Caenorhabditis elegans: one gene and its partners. The protein of the gene in region 2 purifies or fractionates together with the protein of the main gene of each other region. This does not show direct contact. Each region holds a gene or a part of one and is shown on either strand. Other genes may lie near its edges. The genes, in order: mab-10, nas-16 and F01F1.15.

Evidence for each region.
Region 1: the proteins of nas-16 (region 2) and mab-10 fractionate together in Caenorhabditis elegans (co-fractionation; one large-scale study listed by BioGRID). This does not show direct contact.
Region 3: the proteins of nas-16 (region 2) and F01F1.15 fractionate together in Caenorhabditis elegans (co-fractionation; one large-scale study listed by BioGRID). This does not show direct contact.

What each region holds. Positions count from the first base shown.
Region 1 is NC_003280.10:10,526,021-10,534,830, reverse strand, and holds mab-10 (NAB transcription cofactor mab-10), read right to left. Parts: upstream 6,748-8,810; 5' UTR 6,584-6,747; intron 5,459-6,583; exon of another isoform or gene 5,033-5,458; intron 4,495-5,032; 5' UTR 4,410-4,494; coding exon 4,328-4,409; intron 4,282-4,327; coding exon 4,137-4,281; intron 4,076-4,136; coding exon 3,969-4,075; intron 3,919-3,968; coding exon 3,523-3,918; intron 3,162-3,522; coding exon 2,736-3,161; intron 2,330-2,735; coding exon 2,194-2,329; intron 2,146-2,193; coding exon 1,758-2,145; intron 1,394-1,757; coding exon 1,325-1,393; 3' UTR 451-1,324; downstream 1-450. Other genes in the region: R166.2 (Cleft lip and palate transmembrane protein 1 homolog), read left to right, coding at 98-292. UniProt on the Caenorhabditis elegans protein: Transcriptional cofactor. Heterochronic protein, involved in timing of a subset of differentiation events during the larval-to-adult transition.
Region 2 is NC_003283.11:11,390,132-11,394,846, reverse strand, and holds nas-16 (Zinc metalloproteinase nas-16), read right to left. Parts: upstream 2,528-4,715; coding exon 2,363-2,527; intron 2,292-2,362; coding exon 1,875-2,291; intron 1,819-1,874; coding exon 1,577-1,818; intron 1,529-1,576; coding exon 1,339-1,528; downstream 1-1,338. Other genes in the region: K03B8.4 (uncharacterized protein), read left to right, coding at 1-61; K03B8.14 (uncharacterized protein), read right to left, coding at 3,957-4,055, 4,099-4,191; K03B8.11 (uncharacterized protein), read left to right, coding at 4,353-4,574. UniProt on the Caenorhabditis elegans protein: Metalloprotease.
Region 3 is NC_003281.10:5,867,462-5,871,695, reverse strand, and holds F01F1.15 (DUF3456 domain-containing protein), read left to right. Parts: upstream 1-2,166; 5' UTR 2,167-2,167; coding exon 2,168-2,249; intron 2,250-2,296; coding exon 2,297-2,496; intron 2,497-2,540; coding exon 2,541-2,639; intron 2,640-2,770; coding exon 2,771-2,971; 3' UTR 2,972-3,106; downstream 3,107-4,234. Other genes in the region: F01F1.11 (PAP-associated domain-containing protein), read left to right, coding at 1-105, 153-388, 440-604, 653-860, 1,153-1,336, 1,380-1,550, 1,881-1,932; eng-1 (mannosyl-glycoprotein endo-beta-N-acetylglucosaminidase), read left to right, coding at 3,197-3,294, 3,589-3,794, 3,882-4,200.

The DNA of each region.
Region 1 (8,810 bases), on a different chromosome or scaffold from region 2:
TGGAGCGCGCGTGCACATCGATTTCAAAAATCTCATTTTTCTGCGTCCCCATAATACCAAAATAACTTTAATTAAAAAATAATATTAAAATTTCCAGATCTACCTCTACCAACGCTGGGCGTATCGCATTGATCCAACTCGACTGAACGAGTTCGGCACAAGCCTCGAGAAGGAAACTGGAGCACCGGCGCCGACGCCGGCCGTAGAAGGATCTTCTGAACCTTCCCAGGAGCCCGAGCATGAATCAGAACCAAATTCAGAGCATGCAAAAGAAGATAAAAAGACAAAGTAGAATTTACTTGATTTTTTTAATATATTAAAGCAAAACTATTGTTACGGGAATCATGTCTTCCGATTTACTTGTCGTCCATCTCCCCATCTACTTTTTGTTTCCAGTCGTTAGTGAGATTTAAATCCCCTGAACTTCTCAATTATATATTTCCTGTTCTCTTTGAATTCTTTAATTTATTTGTTATAAACTTTTCTTTATTAGAAAAAATAGTTACAATTCAAGTGCATAAGAACCATGTAAACATTTTTGGGGAGAAAGTGGTGATGGGTGGAGGAGACTAGTAGAGTTGTAAAAATCTGTGAATAAAATGGACTGAAAGTGTGGCAAACATTTAGGCAATTTTTAGAAAATCTTTTTTTTACTATTCAAAGAAAAAATGACGGGATTATTCAAATTTTTGGAGCAAATTAGGCCATTTCGAATGACCGGAAAATTTGAAAATTTGATCTATTCAGAAAAATCTTTGAATTTTTTGAATTTTCACTGCATTAAATGCAAAATTTTTGTGAAAATCCTATGGGCTTTTCGCTTCGAGACCCAAAAATTTATAAAAGCAATCAACTTGCAATGCATTGGATGCGAAATTGAAGTTTTTCAGTTTTGAATTCAAATTTCTTTCTCAATAGAGCAAGACAAACATATTAAATATTTTTAAAAAATTGGAAAATGGAAAAAAAAATTATATTTAAATTATCTAATTGGGGGCGGGGCCGTGGGCGTTGGTTTTGGAACCGAACTGTGTTTAGACTCCCATTATATGAGAGCTTGGCATTGGTTTTTGAAAAACCGCCGGAAAAATGGGGGGTTTTTTGAAAACTAGACAAAAAAGTGATAGGAAGAGAAGGAAATTATATGACTCCGAGCGAAGGGGGCGGGAATTTAAATTTAAATTCAAATTCCCGCCTTGTGGGGTACAATAGAGCGTGTTTAGAATGAGAGAATTTTCGAAAACTAATGAGAATCACAGGAAACCGACCAGCGGGAGGTGTTGCAAAGATCACGAGGAAAACAAAAAATATGGAAATCCGAGCTTCAAGATTCCGGGAGCTCACCCTTCATTTTTTCGATTATCGCCGCCCATGCTTCCGGTGGAATTGGTGGCTGAAAAAAATCGATAATCAAAAAATGTTATTGTTCAAATGCAAAGTTTTATGGTTTTTGGTCTCGACATGACTGAAATAATTTGAAGAAAAAAGGGTATGCGTCTTTAAAATTACAGTAACCGTGTTGTATTGCTACTTTTTCACATTTTTTCTCTTTTACTACATTTTGCATATCGTTCACAAAAATGAAAAAACGGGAAAAAATCGAAGAAAATTGAAAAGCTGCAAGGTGGGAAGACTACTGTACGTACTCTTTAAAGGCGCACAGCATTTTTGATTTAAATTTTTTCATTTTTAATTCGTGTCGAGACCAGGTACGGTATTTTTGCATTAAAAGTAACGAACAATTTAAATGTGCCTACCCTTTCTTCCTCCTTAAAAGCACCTGAAGAACTGGACGGTTGTTCATCGAATTCCGATTCTTGAGGGGGCGGAGAGTTGCCCGGCGAGCTTATCGGACTATGCAAATCAGCTGGATCACATGGTCGTTTTCTACTTTTTGCATAGTTATATCCAGCATCTTTGACAATTTGTCGAGCCAACGGAAACAGCTCATCCCGTCGTGTCAAAAGAGACGGAACGAGAAGACATAGCTGAGCAGCTGCTTCATTTACAGTTGTCTCATGAAGTGTCAAAACTTTATGGGGCTTCCGTTTAGTGTCAAAACGTCCGTAAATTGCAGAATACTTGCGAAACGCGTGGATCATTGATGGAGTTGCTGGAGAGCATTTGAGGAGTTCTATGACTTCTCTGAAATTTCAAAAAATTATAAAATAGTCTGAATCCATTCTGACTCACTTTGAAACTCGTTTCTTATTCTGCACCAACCTCGGCGGAAGTGGCGGGAGATTCTTGGAAGCCGCCAGAGCACACTCAGCGAGACGGGATATTTGAGCAGTTGATAGAGTCGGATTTTCAGTTAGTGATGGATTATCTGGAAAATTAATTTTAACATTGAAGTTTTTCTTTTATAAAAGCTTTCACAGCAGTGTTTCTTTTCAGGTAAACTATGACATGGCACCTTTTCTATACTGTAAGATTACTGTAGGATTATTGTAGTTTCAGAAAAACTGAGTTATTTTTATGGAGACGGATATGGGCGAGGCAATCTTGTAAAACTGTAGGTTACTGTAGGAGTACTGTAGGACTATTGATTTTTTTTAGAAAACTGAGCTTTGGGTTTTTGAAAGATCGGTGAGTTGAGGTTAGTGAAAAGGTTACTGTAGTAGCATTTAATAGACTTTTCAAAAAAACAATTTTTTTTTGTCTTTTGACACTTTTTTTTACCAAGTCCTACTATGATTATTTTCGGCTAGAGCATAAACTTTAGAAAAACGAACTTGGATCAAAATCTCCCAATGAAACGAAATCATTGCCATATGGTTGTGAATAACCAACACCTAAAAAAGGAGAGGACGACCCCTCTTTTTCTTGGCCGGTGATGGACGATGATCGTCCAAATGAAGTGGATGGTTGTTGAATGGATGTGCTAGATGGAGGGACGACGAGGTGGCGTGTAACGCTTGCTGCACCACTAAAATTGAGGCCAATGCTGTTTCCGGAGAATACGTTGGCGGTGGCTCTCGATGATGGTGGCGGAACTGCGGCGGAGACATTGGTGGTGGTGGCGGGGAGGATTCCAGCAGGGAGCTCAGGGTGGGATGTGTTTGAGCTGGTTGAGGGGAGCACGCTTCGAACAGATGAGGTGGATGATGACTGTTGATCAGAGGCCAGAGACTCGAGTAGAGGAGTGGAGAACTTGAACGCTGAAATTTTGGGATTCGTTGAGTTGAGGGAATATTCAAAAATCGCTTAAAATCATGAATGGGACAGTATAAGCACAAGTATAACACAAACTGAGTATGCTAATCTACGCGCTGAATATAGTGCATTGATGAAGCCTTGGAGTCGGTGCTAACTTAATTTCGATCTTTGTAACACATGTTGGTAATTGAAGCGGTACAATTAGTTCAATTTAGAAAAAAACAAAAAAAAACTCAAAAATGTGAACCATTATTTTACTATTTCATAACAAATATCTCAAAAACTTAAAATAAAGAACTAAAAACAAAAATTGTGCATTATGGACATGCGTGTGCTACCAAACGCCCAGCGACAAAGACTAACCCAACGGTACCGAATTCGACGATGTCGTGTTCAGATTCAGTGACGGAGACGATGATGACGTGTCTGCTGCTTCGGATGGTGTCGAAACTTTTTCAGCAACTGACGACAGCTGACTCAAAAATCGGAGACTCGGGAATTTCGGCGACGTGGCAGCGGCGATTCCGGGTAGCAGAAGAGCCATCGGATCAGTACCCGCAGGTGTGTAGTTCAGTGGTGGTGGTGGACCGATTTGTTGAAGAGCTGCCAGGTTGAATGCAGTCTGATCCTGACTATACTCAGCAAGTGCTCTCTGCATCCGCCGGACATGAAGAGGCTTCGGAAGCATTCCCACAAGATTCATAATTTCCAGAAATTCTCTCTCCTCGCATGCCATGATCTGATTGATATCGTCGCCACCTGAAACAAATTTACCTTATAATAGAAAATTCACAAAGAAGAATCCTTACCTTGTGCTATGAAAACATCATAGTACTGAACTAAATTCGCTTTGCTCAGTACAGCCAACAATTGCCACTCGGATAGAGTCGTTGGTGTCGGCATCGGTTTGGGAGAACTAAAAAATTTCATAAATACTTTCCCTTATCACCAGAAATCGATAAAAATGATTGACTTACACAGGGCGATCTGCATTGCTGGTTGATTGACGTTGTGATGATGATGATGAAGAGGTGGGTATTGATGAAGTGGATTGAGTTGTAAGAGATGATAAAATTGATGGAGAAGATGAAGACGAGCTAAGTATGGACTCCAAGTGATGTGCTAGAATTTTACTAATTTTTCTGATGTCCTGATCGTCGGGACTTACATGCTGATGGTCTTGATGTGATCGACGAAGTCGTTGTTGACGCAGATGATGTGGGTAACGACGACGACGACGATGATGACATGATGCCTTCTGAAGGCACACAAGTTGAGGTACGCTCCCAATCCAGATCGACGGAAGGGCAGCGGCTATCGAATAGCCTCAGTATCCTGAAAATGAGTTGTTGAATATGAGATTCTGGAGTCTACTACAGAACTAGTACTTTTTGTCTCAAAGCAAAGGAGATTCAGGAGAAACTTTTCGGCAACAACTCGGTAAAATATAAAAAAAAGCTGTTGATAGGCAGTTGCTAGGTAATTTTTTTAACATCAAAATGTCGTTGGAAAGTTGCAAAAGTTCGACAGGAAGTTGTAAACTGTCAAAGTTTTACAGGACGCTGCCTCCAAAACCTCCGAGCCAAGTTGGTATATATTATTTTTATAATCAACTACAGAAAACACACTGATTGTATGCTTAAAGAGAAAATATCAAACAATTATTAGAAGGTACGTGTAAACTACTAGAAATTAAATATTGTAAGCTGATTTATATTTTTCCCAGAATGAAAATTAATTGAAAAATGCTGAACTACTGTATTAACTGCTTTACAACACTGTAGGTTCCCTATCGAAGTCATAAAAAAGGTTTGCAAAAAAGGTTAGAATAGAGTGAAGAAGAGAAGAAAATGGGAACATATCGACACAGAAAAGAGAGTGGTATGGCCCCCGATCCCTGTTCAAAAAACCCCAGCGTCCGCCTATCTACATCCCTGACGAAATAGTGTCTTAAACTAAGAGTGCACCCATACATCTAACTATAGGTCAAAAAAACTCGGCGGCGCGCCCGGACGCAAACGACGACACAAGAAACATAGAAAAACCGGCAAACCATTGGGCGAGAAAAAGCGTTTAAAACATAGAGACACAGAGACAATCCTACAAAAAACGTCTCTCGCCACTGGGCTTCTTCGGTCGTTCGGACGCGGGACGGACCGGGAGGTGAGAATGGAGAAATAGGAGGGAGGGAATAGTACGGGAATCGGGGGAGATTTAGAGAGAAAAAGAACCGATGAAAAAACCAAAGAGGCGTCGTTCGATTATTATTTGAAATGTTCGGTTTACTATGCGAACGATTGAGGTGACTGTGTGTGTGTATACACAGGATGGGCTTGGGAGGAACGGGACAAAAAAGTGACCTTTGTTGACAAGTGGATGTCTGGGGATACGAAAGTTCAAAATTTACAGTAATCGGGGTCAGACTTCAGAGAGATTTTGGTAGCTTATCTCCTATATCTATTAACTTCTGACTAACAGAAATACTTTCAAGTTTTGGTGTTTCTTACCGATATGATAAAATATTTAGGCGGATAGTTTTCTTCCTGTTTGGACAAATAGATGTCTAGAAGCTATAAGAGCATACTAATCAAAACTCAAGCTCCTCCTCCTTCTTCCAATTCAGCTGTTCTCATCCAACAGTACCACCATCTGTTTGACCTCTTCTTCACCTCGTTCCATCGCTTTTTCCAACTGAAAAACCGCTCCGAAAACGTCCTTTTCGAGGCTGGCGCGCGCACGCTCATTCTTCTAGCAAAAAAAGCCCCCATGAAATTGTCTGCACATGTCCATGAATTGATGAAAATAGTGTAGACATGGGAGGAGATGCGCGCAGTATGAGGTGAACAGAAAAAAAATTGGGAAGCGATGAAGGGAGAGAAGGTCGACGACGAACAGGCGGATGGGACACAACGGGGAATAGGTGGGAGGTTCGAGAAAAAAATGGGAGAAATGGAGAAAATAGACATAAAGTGAAGAGTGACATTCATAACTAATAATCTAGAAGTTACAGTATCTCCCAACGGACGAAACTAGTGATCTCCGGCAATTCTGGAAACTGTCCGAGCTCGGTCGATTCGGCAAGTACTACATCAGGGGTGTGCGTCAAATTCGCCGAGTTTGTCGTTTGCCGAATTTGCCGAGCCGACAAATTTTAAAAATGTGGATTAGCTGATTTTGCCAAATTTGCCGTGCTCGGCAAATACTAAAAAAGTCCATTGTCAAATTTGCCACACTCCTGACACGGAGGCCTTATAGTTAGTTTCTGAACTCTAGACCTCCTAGTCAAACAAATCAAAACTAAGGCTTTGGTGGAAGGCAGGCGCGTTTTCAGATCCTGGTGCATGCCTGAGACCTGCCTGCCTTCCGTTCTTTTCTCATTTCAGTCAATTTGATAGTTAAAAAAAGAAAAAACTAAAAACCTTACCTGATACAGTTCTAACTCCGCAGACGACGAAAACGGGATGACGTGGTTCTCTACCGACGAAACCATTCAGCCCGTGTCTCCGAATATCATTCGCGTCTGGCGCCGCACAAGGTCCGGGCACGACCGGGTCAGGAGGCTGTGGAACAGTGAGGCCGGGGTCTATAATAAAAAAGTGGTTGGATAGAGGTGGAGGTGATAACTGATAATATGCAACGCTAGAAAAAAAGGAAAAAAATTAAGAGAACATAGGTCAACTGGAGGGGGGAACACGCGTGCGTTGAAAAAAAAGCAAAGGCATTGAGAAATCGAGAGGAACAGAGGAACAGACAGAGCCAGAATAGTGCAGCCACACTCTATATTCTCTCTGCAATCTCTCATCTTCTCCATACTATTTCTCATTCAGTGATATCAGCAGTGGCGCGGCGTCTTCTCAGCGGCGGTGGTACCGGTCGCGGACACCCAGGGCAGAATTGCCCGGGGGGGCGCAAGTGACCCCCACAGACCACGGGGGGACGCATGAGGGAAAAAATGGCTGGCACTGCCTGGGGGCGACGGCAGTGTTGCTGCACAAAAAGTGCGTCTACACTCTCTTCGCTTTACTTGCTCTTTCTGCACTTTTTCTGCTGCCCTCGGCCGCGTCCATTTTTTGTGTGTTACTGGCAGCGGTACCAGTCCGGTGCCGACCCAAGGAGCCCAAAGGTCTCTGGAAGAGCAATTGATATGATCAGAAGCAGTGGAAGGCATGAAGAGCAGTTGAAGAAGGGGGATTCAAGTTGGTGTTTGGGATAGTGAGACTTTTTTTAAACCGCTGAATCACTGGAGAAGTACTACATGAGTACTGTAGACTGTATATGTGATGTTGTATATGTTATTGATATGAGTACTGTTGAGTACAGTAAGGCCGCAAAATTATTTTGAAACTCATCTTATTCGATTTTTTTTTCAGAATTCACCAAAACAAATGTGTGGTGGAATTCAATAATGTTCGTAACTTCAAAAGAGGATTTTATCAAAAGTTGCCAAATATATTTTGTTAAAAGCGTTTTTTCGGCGAAAAGGTTGCTGAAATACTTGTATTCTAAAAATCATTAGTATAATTTGAACATGTTTTCAAACAAAAGTATAATTCGTTACAGTAATGCCAAGATTGAATCCTGGAAAACACCTTCTTTCATAAAAATGAAAATTTTGAAAAATGGTTTTTACTGATTCGTAGAACAAAATTGTAAGCAGATGGCGTGGTTCTTGAAACTTCTGGATTAATCCATCTGAAAAAATTCCGACTGATGATTTTGATAATGTGTTGTTTGATCAAAAAACGAAATGGAACTGATGCTTTAGGATTTTTCTAATTTCATCTCACTGCAAAATATACAGAATCTATTGTATTTGGAGTAGTAAACAATTTGATTGTTATAGTTTTTACAAAAAAATATTTTGAAAATTCTGGAAAGTTGGTAACTAAGAGTTTCTTCACAGTTTTATCTTCAGAAACTTTGAGGGCTCATCGTGAGATTGGTTCTGGAAACTCGTATTTAGAAGTTCATAAACTTGTGGGATGTTGATATGTTTGCATGGCAGAATGCAAGAGGATTTGGTGGAATTGAGGTATGTATCAACACGTTTTTTAAAATAAAATCAAAACATTTTCAGACAAAATGTTAGTTTTCAGACAGCATAACTTCCATGTTATGTACCTACCTTCTTCTGACGTATCAAATTCTACTATTCAATTGTACGGAGAACCCTCAACGTTGCCTTACAGTTAGTGGGGTGCTTCATTACCCATATACACTTGAAAGTGCTCTAGTTTTTTATGAAACTTCTGAAAATCAATAATATGGTTATGGTGATTATTTGGCAAAGCGCACGTGGACAGAAGATAGGATTGCTTATCCGTGGTTTGGTCTGCCAAGAAATTCTTCAATGTCAGTTATCAAGCTCAAGTTCCCTGCTCTCCGAGTGGTCATGAATGGTACGGCTGTTTTTGGCGATTCTGCTGCCATGAAACTCTAAAAAAAACTTATATTTAGTCTTGCTCGTTTACTGAAATGCGTCCGAACTTAACAGGAAAAAGAAAGATATAGCTTTTTTTATTGATTATTATGTAATTCTATTTTTTCTGAATAAATTCGTGCATAACAATATTATTTGAATTTGAGCAAAAACTCAAAACTACTTCGAGAATTTTGATGTGTGTTTTTGCTGCTTGCTTAGACATAACTTA
Region 2 (4,715 bases):
AAAACGAATTATTGCTAAAGAAAACCAGCTAGTAAAACAATGTAAAATATTAAACGAATAACAAAATGACATATAGGAAACCATGAAATGATAACTTTGAATTAAATTAAGTAACAAAAAATTGATGAGACTATTTTTGAGCTTTGAAGATGCGAAGCTACATATTTGCAAATACGTAGCTTTTGATCAAAACATTTTTGAAGCAATAGGTTGCTCTAGTTGCCGTTTCACGGGCATAATTGTGTAAGTCTATTTTTAAAGATATTTCATTGATTTTTTCAATATACTGACTTAATTAAATAGATTAATTTGAGCTTTTCAGAGAGGATGATGATCAGCAACACCAGTCTCCCGCCGTCTAGGGATCAATTGGCCTGCAGCCAAGCTGTCTTCAATCTGTTAATTTATTTTTTAATTGTTTTTCCATTGTTCGTTGTTGTAATAAATGCAATTCTTATTAATCTAAGATTTCAATTTCAATATGAAAATCGGCGGGAGCGAGAATAAAATCGAACCGGGCGCGTAGTGTGTGCGAAAGAAATGCGCTCGGCGCGCGAAAATTGTGCGACTAGATCGCGAGACAGTAGCCTAGTCGCGCCCCGTCCGCGCGCCAGTCGCACCCTCGTCGCGCGCCAAGCGAGCCAAACTACCGAGTAGTCCATTTTTGAGAAAATGATTCAGTTGCGATTTGTCTTTTCTGCCGGTTTTTCGTTTGTAAAATTAAGTCGTATTGCCTTTTGGTTAGCATAACATCTCCATCAAACATTATATTTTTTGTCAAGCTTGGTATAAATTTATACAAATCTTCTGGAATCACTGATCCGGATGCCAGAACAACACATAAAATAACAGACACTGGCAAAGCATTTTCATGAAAATATTATTTCAAAAATTTGACGATATTTATATAGTTCAAAAAAATGAATTTCAACAAGATTCTCATGATTATGCAAGAAGAAAATGATTTTCAAACAAAAACTTTACATATAAAATATGGATCAAGGAAGTGTTGAGAAGTTTTTCAAATTAATTCAAGTTCATGGAGAAAATCTATCAAAGGGACCTTGAATTTGTGAAAGATTGTTAATTCCATAAAACTAGTAGGTACTACAAAAAACTGGACACAAGCGTGCAAATCGATAGAAATTCACACGTTATTAAAATCTGTTGCCAAAAATTTGAACATTTCGTCGAGTGTGATCAGTGTGAAAGTCTGGTTTGATTCATTGATTGTTGTTGTATGTGAAGGTATTGCAAGAAAAAATGTTTTCCAGTTTAATAATGACACACGTATGGAAACTTTATTATTTTATTCAGAACAAATCACCAAACGAAAATTTAGGCATAATATTCATAGTTATCATATCCATTTGTGGTTTTATTGTAGCTACTCAAGCGTTCATTCACATATCTGTAATGGAAGGTCACTTTGTTTTTCCCGAGAAATGTATAAATATTAATCAAAAGTGGATTCAGCTTGGCTTTGTATCCCTTGTTGGATGGGTCCACTTGATTCTCACAGCAAATACTGTAATCAATTTTAATTGTTATTCGATGACTTGAAGAAAGTACCCACATTGGATTAGTGATTCTTGGATCCCCCATGTATTTAATCTCCACTCCATTATTATTGCAACCAGAGTCACACGAGAAATTTTCTATTTTCACAATTTTAACTTCAATAATTTTATCTTTCGGAGCATTTATTGAGATAAACGCTTTAACGGGGTCTGTAGTATCTCTCAAAACACTACTTCCAACAGAAATCCAGGATCCTTTCCAATACGAATCTGCACTTAACTGGACACTACAAGCAACCTGAAAAATACAGTTTTAAAAATACCGATAGAAACTAATTCAGATAATAAACTAACTACTCGATCACATAACACTCCTCCATATCCCAATGGACAAATACATTCCAAACAATTGGACGGATTTGTATATCCTCCATTTGCACACAATAATTCACTTGGACATTTGCAGTTGTATGCAGTGTTTATAGTTAACATATCATAAAATGTAACTCTTCGATTTCCTAGTGTTCTATAATATTCCATTTGTTTCGGAAGAAGTGAATTTGTTCCCGATACATCGGCTGTATAGTGCAAAGTGCTTCCATACTCATATGGTACAACGTTTATAGAAAAGGGAGGAGAAACAATCTCAAAATTGCTGTCGTCTTCATCATCTTTGTTCAGATTTACATTAAGAAAGTTATCTCGATCAAAACGAGCATGAGTGTGCAGAACACCCAATGCATGCATTAGTTCGTGAACGGCGGATCCAAACTAAAAATATTCGATTTAAAATAGTTATTTTCGTGTAAGATTTCCCCAAAACCTAGTATGCAAGAACTCACCCGCATGCACCAGTCAGGAAAATAAATTTCTTGTACACTGTTAATCATTCCAACATATGAAGCACAGAAAGTACTGTCAACAAATTTTATTCTCGTTGAAATAGTACAGTTTTCTTCGAAAGTAACGCAAGTTTGTGAAGATATGAAGTTCATAGCAAATTTCATTAATTTTCGTTTTACAGTATCTGAGTTTTTTTTTAATTTTAACTTTTTGAGTTGGAGCTTACTGAATGAATCGGCATTACAATAAAATACTTTAGCATTGGACCACTGTGGAGAAAATAATTTAGTCACTACTTGTCTTTTCTGACGGGTTCCTTTTCATAAGGTGTTTGAATTGTTCATTCGTTAGCAAAATATCACCTTCAATAATTATTTTTTTTGGAACGCTGGACATATGTTCATTAGCATCTTTTCCAATATCTGATCCATATATGAGAACAATTGAAAGTGTCAGATGAAAATAAAAATATTGATAAAACATTTTAGATTTTTCTAGATTTTCAGAACGATATTTTATACAGTTCAAGCTGAATTTAAACAAGTTTCCCATGATTATGCAGGAGGAAATATTCAGATAGTTCAAACCCAATGATCATGCAAAGAAAAAATAATTTTAAAAAAGTATTATATACCGTTTTCTTCATATGATTCTTGTTCCTCTACTTCTACACTGTAACAGCGCTTCTCGGTTTTTTTTAGTTTGATCCAGCTATGACTTGACTATACATAGAATTATTTGAAACGCACTTTTCATCTGAAATTGTTTTGATGAAACTAGAGACAGTCAAGACATTGACGATCAAATTGGAACAAAGGAGGTGCAAGAGTATTATAATATAAAAAATACGTAATCTCGAAACTGGTACAATTTGAAACATTTTCTCTAGAAAGTGTTCACTTGTCCACATCCAATTGTCCACAAAATAAACTTGTGTTTGGAATGACTTGGAAAAAAACATAAAATTGGGAGAAAATATTGTCTTGTGACGAGATTAAATATTTTCGGAAAATTTGTTTTGCGAAATTCATTTATTTTCTTTCGTTTAGCAGTTAAACAACTACATTTCAAATTCGTTTGGCCATCATCCAATAATAATAAGAATAATAATTTTATTCACTAACTTTGCAATATAGGTGTCAACCTTCAATTGAACATAATCATCTCCTTTGTACCGCCCATCTTGTGCACAAGGTATGCACACTGGCGGAACCCACCAGATGTCCGGTCACCATGAGAAAGGTGTTCGTTCAATTTTCTGCCATATTTAGCTTTGCGCTGGGGCGATAACGTGACCAATGAGGCTTTGCCGAGGTGCGTTTATTGCTGGTTGAAAACTTTTCCCAATTGCCCGCGATGTCCCCTGAAACATGGGTGGCATACGCAATTTTTGAACGCCTCCAGGAGGCAGAACAATTTCTCAAATTTTCTTCTGTTTTGTTGGTTACTTGTGGTTTGTTCAAGAAATTTCAAATGGACTGAAATGAGTTTACCTTCCTGATACATTTAGTTAACGACGATGAGCCGAAAACTTTTTGCATGTTCTAATACAATTATATGCCAAACTTTATTCAACAACAGAAAATAACGAACTCATTGTTCCTGCTTTACAAATTTCGGATCTCCCGTCACACCAGCATGTTGAATCTCCCCAGGCAAATCGAAGACGGCTTTTTTGGAAAAAGGTGCATTCTGGAATAATTTTGTTTGTACTTCTAAGTGAATATTCTAAAACCTTTCCGATTTGCTCGTCCAATGAGATAACACCAGTCGGGAAACTTGAAGTTACCACGAGAAGAAGAACAAATAAAGGGAAGAGAAGACGCATGATTGAGTCAGTTGATTTTATCAGCCAGATTGCAATTTTATACTACCAGCTTTTCTCACAATTAGCATTATTCAAAGTTTGACGTTTTTTAAATGCAAATCATGAGAAATTCGATGAAAATATAAGACTCTGTGTACAGTAACTCGATTCATACAATCGAAATGAAATTGGTTTCCCTCCTTCTTCTCTTCACAATCTTCTTGTCGGGATTGACTCTTCGCCTCGAAGAAGATCTTTCTGCAGTCTATATTGATCATGGAGAAATTATCGTTGAGGACAAGCCCGATCTTCCAGGAAGTGTTTTGTCTCCAGAAGGCAATCCTCCAACTCACGTCACCTACCAAGATGTCGGAGAAGCGACTACTAAACGAATTTATCACTGAACTGTTTTTGCCAACTGATAAATGATTTTATTATTTTGGTACAAAATATAAAGTTTGATAACGACTTCAAATATAATTTGAATTTGTGCCCAAAAGTCATTTGCATCACGATTGCTACATTTTTCGAATAATTCTCTGAAA
Region 3 (4,234 bases), on a different chromosome or scaffold from region 2:
TAGAGGACTATATGGGCGGAGAAAAATATGATTCTTATAATGATGCAAAAGAAGATATTAAAGATTTTAAGACGACTCAAAGAATGAAAAAAATCCATCGAATGGGTAAAAAAATTATCAATAAAATATTAAAAGTTCAATTATTGTTTCAGAAAAAATTGAGCAAAACATTGCCTCAGAGAAAATCGATATAATCGAGCTTGGAACACGTGTGATGGTGTCGACATCGGATAAAACGCTCAATGAAGCTTCATTGGAGAGAACCATCCGTTGCGGAATATCTGAAGCCACATTTCTCGGAGATATTTCTATGGAATCGCTGGTAGAAGGTATGGTGAATCCATCGGCGGCTGATGGAAGGTTTGCAATGCTTGGAACGTCTATTATGGTCAGAATTCTGATAGCCCGGAATTCAAAATTCCATTTTTTGATTTTTCAGCTAAATGCGCTAAAGTCAAACATTAAAGACCTGAGAGGAACAATTGTAGGACAGACGACCAACACAAATTCAGAGTCAAAATTCGATAAAATCGATTTAAGTCTAATGAATCTCTCGCATTGCCAACAAACTTCTTACAATATTCGAGCAACAGGTGTATTCTCTGTGAGTTTTTTTTTGTTTCAGCTTCTATGAAAAAATGCCAAATTTTAGAATGCCGATCTTCAATATGTGTTCAGTTTGCTGACGTTCCGCAGAAACGCAAAACTTCTCAACAAAACCAAGCAGTTTATAAAAGCATATTTTTGTGTTGCGTGCCGTCCGAGATGCATGATCTGGAGATATACTTTAAGAAGAGCTGGAAATAGTCAAAGAAGAGCCATTCTTAACTTACCATCCGCCATTGTTTCAACTATTACTCGTAAGTTTTAAATAAAAAAAGAGAATCCATGGGCTTTTTCCAATATTTGGAAACAATTTTCGTTTTTTCAAAAAATAGTTTTAAATGTTGACCTTTTTTCCTTTTTAGATGGCAATTATATGTTTTTCCTTAATAATATTGATTGATAACAGTATAAGCCTAATTTGATTTAAACAAAACATTTTTTTGTTGTAAAATTGCTAAACTTTTTTTTTGATTTTCTCAGAAAAAAAATCCATAAAAAATTTCAATGATACCCTTGCCAATAATCAATTTTTATTGTTTTTTCCAGAGTTTCTGCTCGATTTGACAGGAATTAGCGATGCAAACATCCCATACGATCAGCTCGATCCAATGACACCACTATCAATTTCACTTGGAGAAGATGAATCAATGCGTGTTCAACGATATGAAGAAGCTTGTCGATTGAAGGATCCATTGACGAGATTCTTTCGAGATGCAATTACAGATTGCTTGTAAGTGCCTGAATCCTTGAAAATACATTGAATTAAATTTCAGAAATGAGCTCCGAGAGATGCCGTTTTGCCTGAACACGGGCATTCTGTTGAGCCCGTTGCGTGGTCGAGAACAAGGAACTTCTTGTGTTACATGGAAAGATTATGAAGGATTTTTGAAAAGAGAACACGATCTGCCTTCCGAAGCGAATATGAAGAAGCGAACGCAGTTTGAGTAAGTTTAAAAAATAATTTCGATTTTAAAATCCTTAAAATTTGCATTCAGTTATAAGTGTAATTTTTTTTTGGAAAAAGCGTAAAATTTGAAAATCAATTATATTTTCAGTTACCGACAGGATAACAGAATTTTTCTCTATTTTCGCTCCCTTTTTTTCGAAAAATACCAAAAATAAAATTTCATTGCTGCTCGCTGTTGCGGAGCGTTCTTTAGTTTTTCACTACAGTACTACTTTTGAAAAAATTGTACGTGACGAGGCCGGGTAACATATCTTTGAGACGAGATTTCAGAGTTCATATCTGAATAGTATTAAAATTAAATTTCCAGACAACGGCTCTGCGACATTATTCCACGTGTACGTCGACCGGTTCCCAATTGAAAAAATGTTTAACTTATCAATTTTCGATCTCTTGAATACGTTGTTTCCAATCAACTTTAATGAATAATATTCATGTTTTATTCGTGAAGAAAAGTACCATTTACACAAACACTGGATACCTATCCAAACACCGTTCTTTTTCTTTTCTTTCTGCCACTCTCCCAATCATTGTTTGCTCTCTCTCTCTCTCCGCTTCACTTGGTCATTATCGACGCTTTTTAACCATTTATTCAGAATGCATTTTGTTTCTACACTGGTTTGTCTCATATCACTGTCGGGTATTCAATCTGCATCGGTTTCTTCATTAGAGTGTGGAGGTTGATAGATTTTTCTAAAATATATTTTTAAATATTGAAAATTTCAGCCTGCTCCCTCCTCGTAACCCATTTCGAGCTGAAAATCGCCGCAGTCGACCCGAAAAAGAAAATCGAAGTTGGAAGTTTCCGAGTTTCACCAACTGGAGATCAAAAAGGGCTCAAGGAAATCGGCTATGCTCGTTCAGAATCTCATTTGACAGAAATCATTGAGCACGCTTGTGATGATGCGAAACACTATAAACTTGTGGTAAGAACCATAAATTGTATAGATTTTTACAAATTTCTCTTCAGGTGAATACAATTACTGGAAAATCAGTCTACGTTCACAACGACGCCACACATTTGAAAGGAGATGAGTCTCCCAAAATGAGATATAATCTTCAAAACGCTGTAAGTTCAAGCACGGGATTCCAAACTCTAGTTATTATTAGAAAACAATCCCTAATGAGAATTAAGAACTTTTTCAGTTTTTTGCAGAAAACTTCAGTCTTGATTTTTTAATTTAAATTTCTAAATTTTAGTGCAACGACTTCATTGACTCTCACGAAGATGAGCTTCTTGGTTTCCTGAAGACCGCCCATCAGGATCCCGTCAAACAGTTCTGCCAAGGAGAAATGGGTGCTTGCACTGCTGTCGATGTGGCACCTCTACCTGCTGCTCCAGAAGAACCAATGGATCTTTCTGATATTCCAGATGATGAAATTGACAGAAAAGAACTTTAAATTAAATTTTCCTTTTTTAAATTAGTAATTTATGAATTTCAACTCGTTTGCGGGATCTGGAAATTGTGCTATATCGTTATCTGTTTGAATTTTAATTTATATGTGATTTGTTTTGTGATATAAACTTCAAGTTTTTCCTTTCGTGAAATGCTAAGGGTAAAGTTGAAATCAATTGAAATATCGCAGAGCCTCTTGATCTTGACTTACAATTCTATTTATAATTAGATGACGATTTCTCCAATTGACACACTCGAAGAGCTCTGGAGTTGGAAATCACGAGAAGATGTTGGCGAGCAATACAGTGAGCAACTGGTTAACTTTAAGTAATTTTTATGAAATTTCAGAAAGAAAATTAATTTTCTACCTGGCAATAAGAATAGTGTTAAATATTTTTAGCCCGAATGCGAAAAAAATGGTTTTGGCGCGAGCCAATTTTTTCAGCTACAGTACCCAGTAGTATGGTAGACTTACATAATATTTGGTTTTTACTTAGTTTTAAACTTTTTTTGATAACTTTATTGATAAACAATAGTCACAGTCACAGTCACAGGACAAAAGCTTCGATCGTGCTGAGACCTAAAATCATGGATTTTCCCTACTATATGGCAAAATTTCAGACCACATTCGGGTCGTCAAATCCTCGTATGCCACGATATGCGTGGTGGATATTTGGAAGAGGAGTCTACGGAAGGAAAGAAATTCGAAAAAGACCGGTACCCGTACATGTTCTTGAATTGGTGGCAAATCGACATTTTCAACTACTTTTCACATCATTTTGTGACGATTCCACCGGAAGATTATACACGAATTGCTCATAAACATGGTATAAAATATTAAATCTAAAAATCGAAATAACACAAAACATGCCCGTCCATTTCTTGGTTTTTAAGTCAAAGTATCCCAATTTCAGGTGTTCTTTCACTTGGAACATTCATCACGGAATGGATTCCAGGATACGATATTTGTTCGAAAATCTTGGAAAATGAGGGTTCGGTAGAAAAAACAGTGGACTGTCTGGTGGCTGTTGCGAGATTTTTTGGATTTGATGGATGGTTGATTAATATTGAAAATAAAATTGATGCAGGAAAAATCGATTTGTTGATTCAATTTTGTTCGAGTTTAACTGAAAAGTCAAAGAAAATGAATGAAAATTCGAAAGTGATATGGTATGATTCGGTACTTGATAATGGAAAGTTGCATTGGCAAAATGAATTGAATGAGATGAATCGGTTAGAATATTAGAACTGTACTGAAATATTAATA